Linked DNA regions of Schizosaccharomyces pombe. The protein of the gene in region 3 interacts with the protein of the main gene of each other region in a biochemical or structural test. Each region holds a gene or a part of one and is shown on either strand. Other genes may lie near its edges.

Region 1 (5,706 bases), on a different chromosome or scaffold from region 3:
AAATTTGAAAAACCTACTATTGCCAAAAGTTTAAACAATTTAATTCAGTGTCACGGTTAACAACTAATAATCTCACCTTCTCATTTCTACCTACAGAAAAGAATTATTTTCTTTCATTCATACTTATAAATTCATCTTTTCACTAACATGTTTAGGGTATGTGCATAGACCGTGTATATCTAAGGAGAACGCAACCACAGTAAACTAAGTCCTGCTAGTCACAGGTTTAAGTATTATAAAGTATTGGAAAGCGCCAGCATTTTAATTACTAATTTTGTTGTATTATTTTCCTTATTTATTAGATACTATGAGGAAAGAGTATCTCGTTAGCCATATAGAAGAAAATGCACATCAAGCAGACATTTACTCTCTCAATGTAGTCGCAGGCAATCTTTGGTCGGCTTCTGGGGATTCCAAAATAAAAAAATGGTCTATAGGTGATGCTGAGCATAGCTTAGTTGAAGAAATAGATACCCCTCATAAACTTGGCGTTCATCATCTAGCAACTAGCTTGGATGAAAACGTCGTCGTTTCTTGCGGATTTGGACAGGATGTTTATGTTTGGAATCCTGAAACTAATGAATTTCGAGACTTGGGTACGAATTACTTTACGAAGAAGCTATGCATTTCTCTAACGAATATGATTTAGGTAATAATGCTCAACATCCCAGCGAATGCTGGTCTTCTTGCATTAGCCCTGATGGACAAACGATTGCTTTCACATCTGTAGACGGGCGTATTGCTGTCTGGGACAATCCAAGTGATTGCAAAATTTCCGAGTTAGATACCAAAGGTAAATTCGGTCTTTGTATAGACTATTCTCCCAATGGAAGATTTATCGTTTCTGGTCATCAAACTGGGCAGCTTTTCCTTATAAGTACAGAAACAGGACGCTTGTTTCATGTACTATCGGGCCACACTTCCCCTGTACGATCAGTGGCGTTCTCTCCTGGTTCAACACTTTTAGCTGCTGCCGGGGATTCTAAAATGATTACTATCTACGACGTTTTATCAGGGGATCAAGTCGGCCAACTTCGTGGTCATGCTGCATGGATTTTTGCAGTAGCTTTCAATCCCGTAGGTGATTTGTTGCTTTCGGCTGATGTTGAAGGAAAAATCAAAATCTGGGATATTGACACCATGGAATGTATTAGTACACAAAGTGAAACGGATGGAGCTATTTGGGCTGTGGCATGGTATAAAAATGGGTTCATCGTCGCAGGTGCTGATAAAAGTATTCGTTGGTATAGAGCTGCTGCTACAGAATAATTGCACTCTTGTGCTTTCTTAATGACCGATGGAAAAGTTTTTAAAAAATAGCAAAAAATTAAGGAGTTTCTAATATTTGGATTAATTATGAATATCAACACTTTACTCGTAAAACGAAAGGATCTTGAAATGGATTATTTTAGGGTAACGCATTTTTCTTTTCACTTTCATCATTACAAGTATGTTTGTATCATTGTTTACTTTCGTTCGATACGCTTTTACTTTTTATATAAATTATCTAAGCATAAATTCCTAAGGAAATACGAATCTCATTCAAAGTTTCCATTGTATTTAAAACATGAGTTGACTCATAATATCTATAAAAGTTTATTTTTTATTTTATAGGTAATGGTTAGCTTAGTTTCTTATGTGTTTTAACTGTATTACATTACGTGCCTAGAAAGTTTACTCTCACATACGATAACGACGCAAACCGTTTAAAACCATGCACATACTGCATATGTTATAATCTTTACTTTGAAGACTTTTTGTAATTCAAGATTACTTTTTGTTGATAAATTTTCACACTAATGGCAGAAAATAATAAAAAGTCTACTGCTTACATCCAGAGGATGCGAACACTAAAATTTTATCAAAAAATGGCTTCTGCGCGAATCCCGATCACTGTGTACCTCCACGATCAACGAGAAGTAAAAGCAGAATTTGGAGCGATAGACAGTAGTGAGTCAAAGTTGGCAGTTTCCAATCTACAAACCGATTGGGGCGTTATTAACAGAGCGGTGATACGAACAGGAGACGTCGTGGGCATCGAATACAATTTGGTGCAGGAAGAAGGAGAACTTTGATGATACATTACGATTTTCAGATACAGAAGCCTTAACAGCCATGGTATTCAATTCAGTGTTTACAGATGAGAAAGCGTGATGTACATAGTATGCATAGTTGTATAGAAGCGCAACATAATTAATGTTATTTATTTAGGAGGAATATTAAAAATAATATCGTAATATTGTATATTTTGCTGGATTAAAGCAAATAACTTTTGCGTCAAACGGATGGTAAATCGTGAAGTTCATTAAACTTCCAAAGGATCAGAAGAATTAGTGTGCCACTGAAATTAAAAGCGGGAAGAAATGATCGCTTACACTGCAAATTTGTTCCAGTATTTTTTTAAAGGACACTCTCGATATCGTTTTCGAGATGTTCAGGCTTGCTAATACTGGAATAGCGTTCGATGACTTGACCTTGACGATTGACCAAGAACTTTTCAAAATTCCACTTAATACGCTCAAGGCCAAGTTGCTTCTTTTGGCTCTTCAAGAATTGATAAACAGGGTCGACGTTGTCGCCATTAACATTGATCTTGGCCAGTACAGGGAAGGTTACGCCATAGTTCTTTTGGCAAAATTGAGCGATTTCTTCGTCAGAACCGGGTTCTTGGTTTCCAAATTGATTGCAAGGGAATCCAAGGATGATAAATCCTCTATCCTTGTATTTCTGATACAACGCCTCAAGACCTTTGTATTGAGGAGTGAATCCACATTTGCTCGCTGTATTGACAACAAGGACCACTTTACCCTTCAAGTTGCTGAAAGGAAAAGGATTTCCATCCTTGTCCTTAGGAGCCAAGTCGTAGAAATGAGACATTTTAACTTACAAAACTCAATACTAATAGAATGAGTAGGTTGAAAGTAAGGTGTAGCGCGGCTGACCGTCCTACTTATGTTTCCAGCTGACCTTATTTCATAATGACATCAGACCTTAGTTTGGGTCAACACGATCTTTTAACAAGAGAAATTTACGTAAAATTAATAAAAATTCCAAGGAAGAAAAGTCGGATCGCATTTATCAAAAGAAATCTTATTTATTTAATCAGTCTCACATTCTTTTTCCTTTGTTTGCTGCTTTTAAAGTTAAAAAAAGGATATGTCGCAGTATACTGCCATTGTCTTTTGTCAACATACCACCAAAATGACAGAAATTTTTGCTGCTATTTAGTAAAAATATTTCAAATTTCGTATTTGTAAAGGTTATGCATAGAATGGCTGAGACTCATACTTAAACAGTATAGGTATCTAAACATTGTATGGGGCGATTGTAGCAGCAAACGATTAAGTAGTTTGCGTTAGTTACAACACCTAGTAATGGTTTGCTACCTTTTGTTTAAAATAATAGTAGACGAGATTGCCAATGGCCGATGTTGTTTATCTTAAAGTTGAAAGTGAAGCGAAACCTTTTTCTAACTTTAAGAGTGGGATTTCTTCCATCCAAAAGAATATGCACTGCAACAAGATATAGGACACAGGCAAATTATTTGACAAAAACAAGGAACCGTATAACTACTTTTTTACTTTAATCTACAAATAAATTAGTAGGATGTAGAAAAAGGTATCAGTGATAGATTATTTATGTATTATCTTAAAAGTATTGTTTTTTGCCCTTTGAAGGGCAAAAAGCAAAAAGGATCAAAATTATGCTCCAGCAGTGACTTGAACACTGGGCCTCTTGCTTACTAGGCAAGCGCTCTACCACTGAGCTACAAGAGCTAGTTGGAATCATTTGCTAAAAGGTATATATATATGCATAACTATTAAGAAATGCTCAGTATTTTTTTGAAATAGAAAATGTTGATATTCGGTTTCTATTATTAAGTTTTAAATTCCAAACATTGTAAATATGTCGTCGTTCTTTACATTCTTTTTTTAATAAATCTTGGTTTAAGTTAAAACCCAATTTTACAAGCTCGCAACTTTGTTGTTAATAAAAAAAAATGTTACACCTGCTAAATAAATATTAAAATCAAACTGTTGTTGTGTGGTATTACCTTATTGAGCTTAATTATAATTTCAGTAAAAATTTATGTTCAATTTTTTTTTTTACTTTCAATTAATTTATTTATTTATTAATTTGTAAAATATTTAGACCTTTGCCAAATAATTATTTGTTAATTTTTCATTTTCTACAATCTGTATTAATTAAGATAAAATTGTCTTCAAAAATACTTTTAGTTTTTGGAAAATCATTTGTTTCAGTGTTTGAGTATCCACATGAATTGTCTAATTTTATATCACTATTATTTTTTTATTCGAACACTCATAAATTGTGTCTATTGTGTTACTTTCAATTTTAATATTTACATTCAAAGTTGCATATATTTTTTACGAAATAATGTACTAAATGATTTAGAAATATTTAGATACGATAGTAATCAATACTAAATTTTATGACACATTCTAAATTCACTTACTTTGGCTTTCTAATTTCCTGTTAGAAAAATTGTCATTCCTAATTGAATTTTGCAGCAATGCTCGAATCAGCTCCAAGGTTGATAAATTTATAGTCAAGAAATATGTAATTATTTATAATAATCTAGTCTAGTTGACCTGGAAAATGTTTGCTTTTCTTACTACCAACCTTCTCTTATCGACCTACAGTTCACCCAAGCACAGCGAAATACCTCAAGATACCCTTCTTTTGAAAACCACCTATTTCAGCAAAAAATCTTTCGCGGTTGTACTTTTAAGTAAGAAGCAAACATCAAAGATTGTTTGCTCCTTCATTGTTTAATCATGGGCAGAGAAATCATTACGTTACAAGCTGGTCAATGTGGTAATCAAAGTATGTTCACCTATACTACTATTAATCAAATCGAAATTCTAATTACTCACAAACTTGTCTAGTTGGTTCACAATTCTGGCAACAGTTGTGTTTGGAACATGGCATTGGGCCTGATGGCACGCTAGAAAGTTTCGCAACTGAGGGTGTTGATCGAAAAGACGTTTTTTTCTACCAGGTTGGTTTATTGATACACTTTAAAGTTTCAACATGTTAACTCATTTTAGTCTGATGATACTAGATACATTCCTAGAGCCATTTTGATTGATCTGGAACCAAGAGTATGTTATCGCATCCTTTTATTAGTATTTGCTGAAATATTCAAGTGACTAATGTCCTCTTTACCTTAGGTGGTCAACAATATTCTAAGCGACACCTACGGCAGCCTTTATAATCCCGAAAATATACTTATTACCAAAAATGGAGGAGGTGCTGGCAATAATTGGGCTAATGGTTATTCGCATGCTGAGAGGATTTTTGAAGATATAATGGACATGATAGATCGTGAAGCTGATGGAAGTGATTCTCTAGAGGGTTTCTCGCTTTTACATTCTATCGCTGGTGGAACGGGTTCTGGGCTGGGCTCTTTCTTGCTTGAGAGATTAAACGATCGTTATCCCAAGAAGATTATCCAAACTTATTCAGTATTCCCTAATAGTCAATCCGTATCAGATGTTGTGGTTCAGCCTTACAACAGTCTTCTTGCATTGAAGCGACTGACATTGAATGCTGATTCTGTTGTTGTGTTGGACAATGCAGCACTTGCTCATATTGCTGCTGATCGGTTACATACTCAGAACCCTACGTTTCATCAACAAAACCAATTGGTAATTGATTTATATTAGGTCTTTTCATCAACTA
Region 2 (5,600 bases), 4.5 Mb from region 3:
ACTCTAATTATGTCTTCTTAAATATTGTTAAAATGAAACTTTCTACGGTCTTGATCCGGAAAAATTAATAACTTCCAAATATGCTTGATCATCACGCTGCACTGCAGCCACACAACGCATAGCATCAAAATCGACATGCCATATTTTTGTGAGGTCTGTTAATAGAAAACGTAACAGCTTTCCAGTCCTAACATCCCATAACTTTACAGAACCATCATTACCACTAATAATTTTGTGTTCATCTGACACAAAGCTACTAATGTAGCCTGAATTAGACGGCAAAACCATTAATGGTTTCCCAGTATTCAAATCCCATATTCTAATTGTGGAGTCAGCAGAACCTGATATCAACCTATTCTGGAATACATTAAGAAGCGTAACAAAGGCATCATGGCCTTCAAGCACATATTTACAAGTCCCTGTCGATAAATCCCAAACCCTAATGGACTTATCCATGCTACCGCTTATGCAAATATTCCTTTCTGGTTCATATAAAACACTATATATACGAAGACTATGACCCCGCAGATGGTAAAGACATTCCCCTGTTGAAACTCTCCAAATGCGAATTGAAGAATCATAACTCCCACTCACAAGTATATCACCATAGCCGGATATAGTTCGTACAGAGTCTGTATGTCCTATCAAAGTATGTACAAAATACGGGTTCTTCTCCCAACGGTCAATAGAGTTTGTATTATCTGGAAGATAAGGAGGATCCGTGTTTTTTGGAAGCTTCCAAACCCGAAGTGTATGATCCCGAGAGCCGCTGACAATGTACGGTTGATCTGGTTCAACAATTTCAACTCCATGGCGAATAAGACGACTCGGAACTAAGATCTCTAAGCATCTGATGATGGAAATATGTCCCCTAAATATGTGCGTACATTTAGCTTTCTCTATGTTCCAAACGCGAACAGTTTTATCGATCGAACCAGATACAAGTGTATTCTCATGTATTTTGACAGCCCAAACACCTTCTTTATGACCCTCTAATCGAGCTTCTAAAACACCGGTAATAGCATTATGAATTTGAATTGTTCCAGATCCCGAAGTGGTGATTATTCTGTCTTTATGAAGTAGTAAAGAAGTTATCATAAAGTTTGGAACATGAATGGGAAAAGATAGATGACTTGGAGGTATCGAAGGAAATAACCATCGTTTTCTATTGAGAAAATGTCTTTTGAAAATTTCCGGAAAATAGTCATCTGAGATTTGGTCGTTGTGCAAAAAAGGTGGACGATTTAAGTTTGGATTAGCATATTTCCAGTCATTTTCATTGATTTGAAAGCCAAATAAACTAAACATGTGTTTCCAGTATGAAGTATGCACATCAAGTATTCTATTCCAAGTAGGCGAAACAAGACGGCAAGAAAGAAAAGAATGTATATCCAGATTTAATAATATAGACTGAACAATGGAAAAAGGAAGATTTGAAAGTATATCTTTTTTTAGAAGCGGCTCGCATTCATTCAATAATAAACGCATCGATTGCCGATTGCACGAACGGAGTAGTTGAAAAAACGCATAAGATTGAATTCCTTCTGGAAGATCCTCAAAAGTTTGAACAATTGACTGTAAGTTTAAATCTTCAAGATCCTCAGAGATAGGTTTACTACCAGGTGAAACAGTGTTTGATGTGTCGACTTTCGGAGAAGGAGGGAAATTGTCGGAGTTAGATGAAATGCTATTATCTAACTTAATTCGATTGTTTCTATCAATTGATATAATTTTAGGTGGAAGAGAAGAATGAGAATATAGAAAATTCCTTTGAGGAACAAGGGAAATGGAAAAATCGCCAGGAACACTATCTGGCGGTGAGTGGTCTAAGCATTTATAAGAGACATTCTCTATACTTTCATTAAACTTTCGAAGAAAAGAAGGCGTACAAGAATGCTTTAATGGGTACTGATACGAATCAGTGCACGGCAGGGAAGAACTCGTATTGCCATTACAACTATTTGATTCTGAGCGAGGATCCGATGCAATTTGATCATCTTGAGGAAGCAGGTTATCCCCATGAATAAGTGAAGAAGGAAATACTTGAGGATCAAATGATTCTGGAGGTGTAGCAGGGCTGCTGCTATTTATTAAAGGAACAGAGGAATTTATACGGGAGGACGAATTGTCAGTTGGACACCTAGAGAGTGACATGCGTAGATGCAATGATTGTGATTTTTCGTTGAAATAAATAAGAAGTCAAAAATGAGCTTTAAGGAAAACAGTCGATAAAACAATCTGAAAATAAATTGGAAAAGAGACCAATGAAAAAGTTACTGACAGATTGGAAAGAAGAAACAACACCGTTATGGTTTGTTTCTACAGATTAATCAAAAACTGGCATATGCCGAAATTAGATACAGATTAAAAAGTGCGGGCATAAAGAGAAAATGAATAATGGAAAGGTTTTTTTATAAGTAATCTTTTAATTGAAAAAATAACAGAAGCTCAATATGCGTTGTTCATACCATACAGAATCTTTGTGTGTGGTAGGAGGCAAGTTCTGGCGGAGAATTTGTAAACAAAAGTTCGTACAATGCGAATGCAAAACTTGTAATAAAAAGATACATGAATTGATACTTTTTAAGTAAATAAATATAAAGCGGTACCTAAAACAGGAAACATGGATTAAGAAAATTGAGTAGAAGTTATATGATACAGATTAGCGTAAGCAGCGTTTTCAAACAAAATATATGCATTTTTTATTTTTCTGAGCTAGAATTTGATGTTCGTTGATAAATAAAATAAGTTTTATGGAAGTTAATACGAAAACTGATTGTAAATCCCATTGCTGGTATATTGTTAGCAAAAAAAACCATAATGGCCTAAGTATCAGTTTCATAAATTCAAAAACAACTAAAAATTTGGGTTCGAATGAAAAACATACTTGATTTACGTCTGCTACGGAAGCTATACTCATCTTGTAATTCCACGCCTCTCATACAGCTACCGAAAATTGCTACTACTTTTTGACCTGAACATAAACCGTGTTTTAAAAAGTTTGGTTTTTATTAATGTTTTTTTTATCTTTTTTGTTTTCTCACATTATTTGAATAATTAATGAAATGGATTCTCACACAACAGAAAAGCGTAGAGGTTCTTACCTGCGCGTCCTGTTTAAGAATGGACGTTTACCAGTAGAAGGATTTCTTTGGAACTGTGATCCCTTGACTGGAACATTAATTTTGATTCAACCTCTTACTCCCAATACAGACGAGGTTGAAGATACTCATTATCGTTTTTATGGTATAATGTCGGATGCTATTCAGACCATTGAACCCGACGAAAGTATGTCTCCTCTTAATCAACAATCGCTAGCAGAATATGATTCTCTATTAACTTCATGATGCGAATTGCATTCAGCGTTTGAAATATATGATTTGAATCTACAATTCTGATGGATAATTCGCTTCTTTTGCGAGGGAAATGTTTTCCTTCCTTTATCGTAAATTAACTATATAAAATATTGTTATACTGAATTGACTTCGACGAATCACTTCAACGCCTTTTTTGCAACCTGAGCGGAGCGGAGTGATATCATCGGACTACAGTAACTGGTATATAGTTGCTACATTCTTTACTTCTCCCAATACCAACATCGTTCTCTTCAAAATGGCTTTTAACTACTCAATTGCCAATACCGTTGATGATGCTGCTCAAAGCATTGCTGAAAATACGAGTTCTTTAGCCACGTTTTCAAAACCGCCTTTGGTCATTGCTCATAGAGGGTATGTTTTATGAATGTATTAGTTGCATACTGCTTTTATTATTAGTAGACTTAGTTTCATATCTGCAACTTTGTACCCTTAATTGTCAAAATCCTTCTCCAATTTAGCAAATGTTTAACTTATGTTTACAGATACAAAGCTAAGTATCCTGAAAATACTATACTAGCATTTCAACAAGCCGTAAAGGCTGGTGCTGACTGCGTTGAAACAGATGTTCGACTAACTAAAGATGAAGTGGTTTGCATTTTGCATGATAGAAATCTTAACAGAGTATTCGGTGTTGATGTTGATGTTCGAGATCTTGATTATGAATTGGATAATGGTCATTTTCGTACCATTCAAGAGCCTCACGAGCCGTTACCTACCTATGAACAATTTTTGCATGAATTAACCAAGCATCCTGGCGTCAATCTACTTGTTGACATTAAGCCAGTAAACGATTTGTTAATTATTCCCAGAATGGTTGATGCAATGCTTCGGGTTAATTCTGATTTAGACTTTTGGAAAGACAAAGTATCGTTTTGTTTATGGTCACATAGGTTCATCCCTGCTTGTGATCGATATGCCCCATCAATTCCGTTATATCATATTGGATTCAACTTCGCTTATGCTGAAAGACATTTTGTTATGCATCCCAGAGTAAAGGGTGTCAGTATGGCTGTTGCTCTGTTTTTACTTCCTCATTCTCAGGATTTTGTTGATCTCGTTCATGCCCAAGGTAAACAAGTCTTTGCATGGACTTTAAACACACCTTCTTCTATCTATCTTGCTTTAATTAGAGGCTGTGACGGACTTTTATCTGATGATCCGGTGATGGCTAGAGCTCTTTCCCAAGGCCCAATTGTTACCAAATCTTGGCATTATTTCCATTATTCCGAGTGGCTTCATATGATTTATGGTTTCTTACGAGCACAATTTGTCTTCTTTTTATTGAGAACCTTTGTGTTGTAAGTATGTTATTCTAAATATGGAAAATACATATATTATGATTGATGAATACTAGAATTCCGGTTTTAGTGATTGAGCATTTTTGTTGCTCTTCCATTTGTTTAAATCCCATCTCCCAATTTTTTCTTATTTGCTTGAGAGTTTACGCTCTATCTTTTTGTATTATTGCAATCGCTCACTAAAGATTTTTGTCATTAGGACAGCCACGTTGAAGCAGAAAAAAGAGAAATTCGCAAACATACGTGGCATTTCAATTGATAAAAAAGTTTTTTTCTATCGTTTTTTTCGTTTCAAAAATATACTTATTTACAATAAATAACATAACTTGGCAAGGCATTATGCCGTCCTAAATAATTTGCATTTAGTACGGAACAAGCGTATTCTGCAGTAGTAGTTTAATCATTGATACTCTTATTATCTTATGAAAACTAATATTTAAGAACTAGTTAACACTTTTAATAGTTTGAGTCAGTATATTAACAAAAGAGCCTTGATTCATCAACAATAGATGCTACCAGTTAACTATTAATATAAATTCGTCTATAAGAAGTTCAATGAGATTTTCTAATTAAAAAAAAAAAAACGTACTTAATTCGAAGCATGCTTCTAGCTTAAATTATCAAACAAATTACAAAGAAATGAATTTTATTTTTTTAGGGATATAATCAATGGTTAATTTTCAAAGAAAAAATTATGATCTGGTTCGTGGTGTGCAGAGTGGTAGTATACGTACCCATCCATTCATACTATAATACTTTCATAGCTGCATAGCTACAACATCAAATATCATACATGTCAAAATGACAGATTTGGAGATAGAAACCGTTAGTAGGGTTTCTAGTAATCCTGATGAAGTAAAAGGATCGTCTGTTGTCGAAGAAGAACCGGATAGTGAATCAACAATCAAAAGTCGAGTTTCTGATG
Region 3 (6,352 bases):
GCATAATTCTTACCAACAGCGTAAATTTCCTCTTCAGCGCGAGAGCTCAGGCCTTGCATAGACGATAACCATCGAAAAAGAAATGGTGAAATGCTGATGAATAGTGAATAAACCAACGTTGGAAGGAAAGTGCGCAACAAAGAATTTAAAAAAGGGAGATCTTCAATCATACGACCAAGTTCCGGCCAGAGTCTTCGAATTGTATCTAAGTTAATAAATACGGCAATGGCTCCCACAGGAACAGTCCATAGCAAGATTATCATAAATGTAACGAGAGTTATGAACCAACCTTGAAAAAACTTATGCCATCTACCGATATAGGTATTATGCCACTGAATATCATTTGCTGCAGGTGCCAGTTCAATATGCAAACCCATCAATGATTTGCTGTCAATATGAGTTTGGGCTACAATTTGCGCAGTCGCCATAGATTCAAACGTTATAAACGCCTGACCTGTGGTAGGATAATCAAAAGAACGAGCATTTTCAATCTGTTGGCTTATTTTATAAAGCTTAGCCGAATAAAAATCGATTGCGTCAATCTTTTGACCAAAAATACCAAAAAAATGAGTTTTTATTAACGGATGGCATTGATGATGTTGCCAAGGAACCTCCAAAAGTTGTTCTGGTGTTGATTCAAGTTCTGCTCTGTTTGGACTAAGATAATTCGAAGGAGGTAAAGTGGAAATTCCAAGCTTTTTGCAGTTACTTAAATAGATAGACCAATATTTTTCTAATTTCTTGACGTATTTACTTTTTTTAGACAGTAATATATCCATGTATGAGTAATTTCGGCATATACTTAAACTGTCTATAGAACCCACATCTAATTTATCAAAATATGCTTTTAAATTTTCCGTTGAACAAAGTTCATTAGGTAAACCAGATATAAAAACGGTTCTGTCCGTCAATCTATTTTGACGAGCCAGATATGATTGACGAATGTCAGCAATCGATTTTGTTGAGGAAAAAAGAACATAAAGAAGAAAAATGGAAATAAAGTAAGTAAAAAGAACGTAAAGATAGAGAAATCCATCACCAGGCTGTGGAAGACCTGGTATATCAGATAAATTACCAATTGGATTAAATAAAGAAGGTCCTAACACACCAACATTTAACTCACTACCATTAGCAATAATAGGAGATTGTACAATTGACTTCTTGACAAGTGGACTTGAGAAGAAATATTCAGATTTGGCAGGCATCGACAAAGTAATATTCCCGAATGCATCTCCACGAAAATGCTTATTGACGGGCATAATAATCAAAACGCCAAGCAGGGAAGCAAAAGAAAGGAATTTTATACCCATTTTAAAAAACAATAAAAAAACGTAGCCGTCCAAACCAGCACAATTTTGCACTACATCATCAGGGATGTTTACTAAATCCATTAACCATTTGTAGTACGATGAAGAAAGTGTAGGTAAATTGAGACCTTCAATGGTAGTTCTAGGGGCATATAGTACTTTCCATCTTTTACGAAAGAAGCAAAAGAATACGCATGCAGAGGCTCCAAGTAAAAAGGCGAGCCAAAATTGAGTTCTTAAATCGCTCGATGGATCTGTTTTCAGCGATGAATCTCGAATCTGTAGGAATTAACACCCGCAGATCGAAGATTCAAACAACGTTAGCAATTTTGTTACAAATGAGGGAAGGATAGGTATACTTACTTTTTCTAGGATCACTGTCGAAAATACCATATCCATTGAAAGCCATTATTGCAAAGTAGCAAACTTAAGGGTCCTTTCGTCAAATTATCGAGGAATGAATGAACGATCGTTTCAGAAAATCGAGAACAAGAAAAATCTGATCTATCCAAGTATTATATGCATGTAAAAAGTAACGGAAAAAGGAAATTATCAAAAGATACACTATTGAAATATGTTATGATAGTTTTTCATGAACGAAAATCTTTAAAATATGAATGTATGTAGAGGAGGGATAGTAGAACGATACTCATCCAATACCCATTCGCATGGTCTTTCAGAATGCGATATGTACTTAACGTAAATTAAGATGACGATGCATAAAAATATGTAACGTAATTACGTGGAGCTACCTTAAATTCAATTAGGTAGTTTAAAATCTATCCCAGAAAGCTAACTTACTGAGAAGTCCTCGCTAAACCATATTAGCGCATGTAGCATTTAATGAATTATTCGTGTGGATATTAGATAACTGATTTAGGTTGATTTTTGTAGCTTATACAATTCCTTTTTCTTTTTGGTATAATAAAGCCAAAATCGTAAACAAAGATGAATTGGAATAAACATTCTTTCACAATACTTCCACGAGTTCACATCGCCATGTGCGAACCTCGTTATATCTTTGACCTCGAATTCTTGTAGTCCTGTCCACTAAGGCGGCTGATAGTTAAGGCAAGGAGCTAAGTTACCACAGCAGATTATAATTGTTGTAGTAAGCGGAATCGCCGAGCTCAAACTGTTTATCGTTATACGCGTTGTGCTTTATAAACAATATTTTCACTTTAATAATATTCAATTAATATAAGAGTTAACAAAGTTGGAAACTACTTGTTAATAAAGCTTTCTTAAGGTACAAAGAAAGACATACAGGAATAGATTATCTACAACTTGTACCAAAAATGGACCAGAGCCAAAAAGAAGTGTGGGATGATTCAGAGCTCAGAAATGCCTTTGAAACCGCTTTACATGAATTCAAAAAGTATCATAGTATTGAAGCAAAGGGAGGAGTATCGGACCCGGATTCTAGGCTAGATGGTGAAAAATTAATTTCAGCTGCACGGACAGAAGAATCAATAAGTAAGCTAGAAGAAGGTGAGCAGATGATAAATCAGCAAACAGAGACGACATTGGAAGGAGATACACATATCCAACAGTTTGCAGATAATAAAGGCCTTAGCGACGAAAAGCCTGAAACAAGGGCAGCAGAGACACATCAAGAGTTTATGGAAGTTCCTCCCCCTATAAGAGGGTTAACATATGGTAAGTAAAAGGTCTTCTAAGAAAATTTATGACTCTCTATTATTAACATAATGATTTAGACGAGACTTACAAAAAGCTTATCATGAGCTGGTACTATGCGGGCTACTATACAGGTTTAGCTGAAGGACTTGCTAAAAGTGAGCAACGTAAAGATTAGCTTCTTGTGCTATTTTTCAAAGTTATGTATATCTTCATTGTTGATGTTGTTATAAAACTGTTATCCTACTTGCTATTGCTAAGATTTATTACTCCTATCAAATAGTTCTATTTCAATTTTCTTTCTAATAAGTAGAATTTATTTGGTCATTTATTAAATCCAATGGAATTTTTAATTGAATCAAAATAATATCATTTTTGCCTAATAGAAATTTTTTCTGAATCAAGTTGCTGAATTTGTTGGGGCATTCTACTCAGCGTTGTTTTTGTCTCTATTGTAGTCATAGTAAAATGCAAACCATTGAAAAATCAATTTATAGGATATGCTATGTTTACACATGTTTTTTAATGAACATTTGAAATTTATAAGTATTTAGTCCTTGATACCATTTATTCTGTTGTTTACATATATGCCTTGACTACTGCTAATCTTGTTACCTTCCATAGTCTTTTAACAACTATCGTTCGTCTCCACGGTGGTGATGTAGTTGTAGAGGGTGCCACAACACTCCCTCCGACAAGCTCCACCACCTACTAGCGATTTACCTATCACTACTACATAACCCGTTTTGAAGCGACACAAAAAGAAAACGTGAAAATTTGTGTCATCTATTAGCAAGAGCTGTCAATGGGTCAGACATTATCAGAGCCAGTCACCGAGAAGCACTCGGTGAACGGGAGCAATGAGTTCGTCCTTTATGGACTTTCAAGCATGCAAGGATGGCGTATCTCAATGGAAGATGCTCATTCTGCTATACTTTCAATGGAGTGCTCTGCAGTAAAAGACCCGGTCGACTTTTTTGCGGTTTATGACGGCCACGGTGGAGACAAAGTCGCGAAATGGTGTGGAAGCAATCTTCCTCAGATTCTTGAAAAGAATCCTGATTTTCAGAAAGGCGATTTTGTTAATGCTTTGAAATCTTCATTTTTAAATGCTGATAAAGCTATTTTGGATGGTAAGTTTGTTGTTAACAATGATAAAGTTGTTTTCATTGATATCATAACCATTTTAAAGTCGCCAAAAAATTGATGAATTTTGTGTTTGAAATTTTTATAGATTTTTTGTTCTTTTGTCTAGTTAATGCTTAGAAAAATTGTTACCAAGATAATAGAAATGTTTACCTCTTGATGTTGAAAAGTTGTTACATTTAGTTTGGTTTCAGAAAAAAAATTTGTCATTTCACTACATTGCATTTTGCTAACTATTTTGACAGATGATCAATTTCATACGGATCCATCAGGTTGCACGGCCACTGTTGTTCTTCGTGTTGGAAATAAACTTTATTGTGTAAGTCTTGGAAGTTGTTTAGTCTTACTAATTGTGTAGGCTAATGCCGGTGACTCAAGAACTGTCCTTGGCAGTAAGGGAATTGCAAAACCTCTATCAGCAGACCATAAGCCTTCAAATGAAGCCGAAAAAGCCCGTATTTGTGCGGCTGGTGGCTTTGTAGACTTTGGCCGTGTAAATGGAAATTTGGCTTTGTCAAGAGCTATCGGTGATTTTGAGTTCAAAAACAGTAATTTAGAACCAGAAAAACAAATAGTTACTGCCTTACCGGATGTTGTTGTACATGAGATTACTGACGATGATGAATTCGTCGTACTCGCTTGTGATGGTATTTGGGATTGCAAGACTTCGCAGCAAGTGATCGAGTTTGTTAGACGTGGCATAGTTGCTGGAACCTCTCTTGAGAAGATTGCTGAAAATTTAATGGATAACTGCATAGCCAGTGACACCGAAACTACCGGCCTTGGTTGTGACAACATGACTGTTTGTATAGTTGCCTTATTGCAAGAAAACGATAAATCAGCATGGTATAAGAAGATTGCAGATAGAGTTGCCGCTAACGACGGACCCTGCGCTCCTCCTGAGTATGCCGAAAATCATGGCCCAGGATGGCGTAGTGGCGATAACAATAAGAAAGTTATTGTCCCACCTAATTTTCATCAAGTAAAGTTAAATGGATCTGATGGATATGACAAAGATGCGAATGAAAATTCTAAGGAAGATGATTCCACCAACGGATCCCTTGCAGCTGGGTTCAGATGGAAAGAACACTTTTTCCCTCATAAAGCCGAGGAGGAAAATTCTTCAAGTGAAACCGATATCGTAAATTCTAACAAAGATGTTGCGGATGATCATAAGGAGGCTGTGTCTGCAGCAGATTGATTATTCCCTACTTCACGCATATTACACAATGTAACTTGCTTTTAGGAATATTCCTCGTAATTAGCATTATTTGTTGACTTATTATAAAAGTCACGCTAGGCGGTTTTGTTTCAACATTTTTTCATGCTTTTCTTTTGTTGTTCGTATAATACGTGCCTGCGACGTATACCGATTACCTCCGAGAATGAAAAGGTTTTTGGTACGTTGCTACTTTGCACTTTTTGATAGCATGCGATTTCTATATCAATTTTGTCGAATACTGTCTTTTATAATCCTGATTCAAAATCAGTTAAGATTATGGAAAATATTTCTCTGGCATGAGTAAACATACCCAGACTAATTTCCGATTGCCCTAATAGATATTGTCGAAGCAATATACATTCCCTTCAATATTCTACTAGTTCCATAATTTACTAAAGTGATTCAACATTTGTGAGTGTAGTCATGATATTATACTTCTTTACAATAATGGTATCATTAAACTAAGCGAAAATAGCTCCTTTATCATATTACTATCCCTCTGCTCCAAAGTCCTTTGTAAATTGTGTGTGCTTTTCTATATCACCAGCATTAAGCGTAGGCTTGACTTTACGAACTGCACTGTAGAAATCTCGAACAGTAAGTTTTGGTTCCATAATGTCTTCAGGATTCACCTCTAGCCAACTAGATTCAAATGCATCAGGATCACCAGGAGAACAAGGAGTTACAAGGGTCCTATTAGACTTGTTATCATATACCTCTTTGAAATGGGTAGCTGTGTGAATTCGTCTTACAGGCTCCATTATTGCATCACGAACAACAATAGAAATATCTGAACCCGAGTAGCCATCGGTCATTTTAGCAAGTTCTTTGAAATCTTGTGAGGTCAGTTCCGAAGGTATTTTACCGACATTAAGCTCGAACATCCGAGCGCGGGCATGAGCATTAGGCAGGGGAATGTAAATACGCTTTTCGAAACGTCGGCGAATAGCAGAATCAAGAGTCCAAGGAATATTCGTGGCACCCAGAACCAGAACTCCACTTTCATCCTTTCCAACTCCATTCATTTGTACCAAAAATT

What was found.
Region 1: the proteins of smn1 (region 3) and gem7 form a complex in vitro, tested with the Schizosaccharomyces pombe proteins (one study listed by BioGRID).
Region 2: the proteins of smn1 (region 3) and gem6 form a complex in vitro, tested with the Schizosaccharomyces pombe proteins (one study listed by BioGRID).

What each region holds. Positions count from the first base shown.
Region 1 is NC_003423.3:2,786,671-2,792,376, forward strand, and holds gem7 (protein Gem7), read left to right. Parts: upstream 1-1,799; coding exon 1,800-2,075; 3' UTR 2,076-2,217; downstream 2,218-5,706. Other genes in the region: rec14 (Ski complex WD repeat subunit Ski8), read left to right, coding at 308-596, 650-1,269; H2O2 scavenger glutathione peroxidase Gpx1, read right to left, coding at 2,401-2,877; gamma-tubulin Gtb1, read left to right, coding at 4,800-4,848, 4,911-5,023, 5,073-5,126, 5,196-5,672.
Region 2 is NC_003424.3:5,351,685-5,357,284, reverse strand, and holds gem6 (SMN complex subunit Gem6), read left to right. Parts: upstream 1-2,971; 5' UTR 2,972-3,065; coding exon 3,066-3,347; downstream 3,348-5,600. Other genes in the region: F-box/WD repeat protein Pop2, read right to left, coding at 43-2,154; pgc1 (glycerophosphoryl diester phosphodiesterase), read left to right, coding at 3,613-3,728, 3,860-4,679; Sec7 domain-containing protein sec71, read left to right, coding at 5,477-5,600.
Region 3 is NC_003424.3:819,103-825,454, reverse strand, and holds smn1 (SMN complex subunit Smn1/Gem1), read left to right. Parts: upstream 1-2,500; 5' UTR 2,501-2,605; coding exon 2,606-2,966; exon of another isoform or gene 2,967-3,025; coding exon 3,026-3,123; 3' UTR 3,124-3,363; downstream 3,364-6,352. Other genes in the region: SPOM_SPAC2G11.09 (Ca(2+) transporter), read right to left, coding at 1-1,561, 1,671-1,716; protein phosphatase PP2C catalytic subunit Ptc3, read left to right, coding at 3,751-4,078, 4,337-4,410, 4,450-5,292; AAA family ATPase Vps4, read right to left, coding at 5,805-6,352. UniProt on the Schizosaccharomyces pombe protein: The SMN complex catalyzes the assembly of small nuclear ribonucleoproteins (snRNPs), the building blocks of the spliceosome, and thereby plays an important role in the splicing of cellular pre-mRNAs.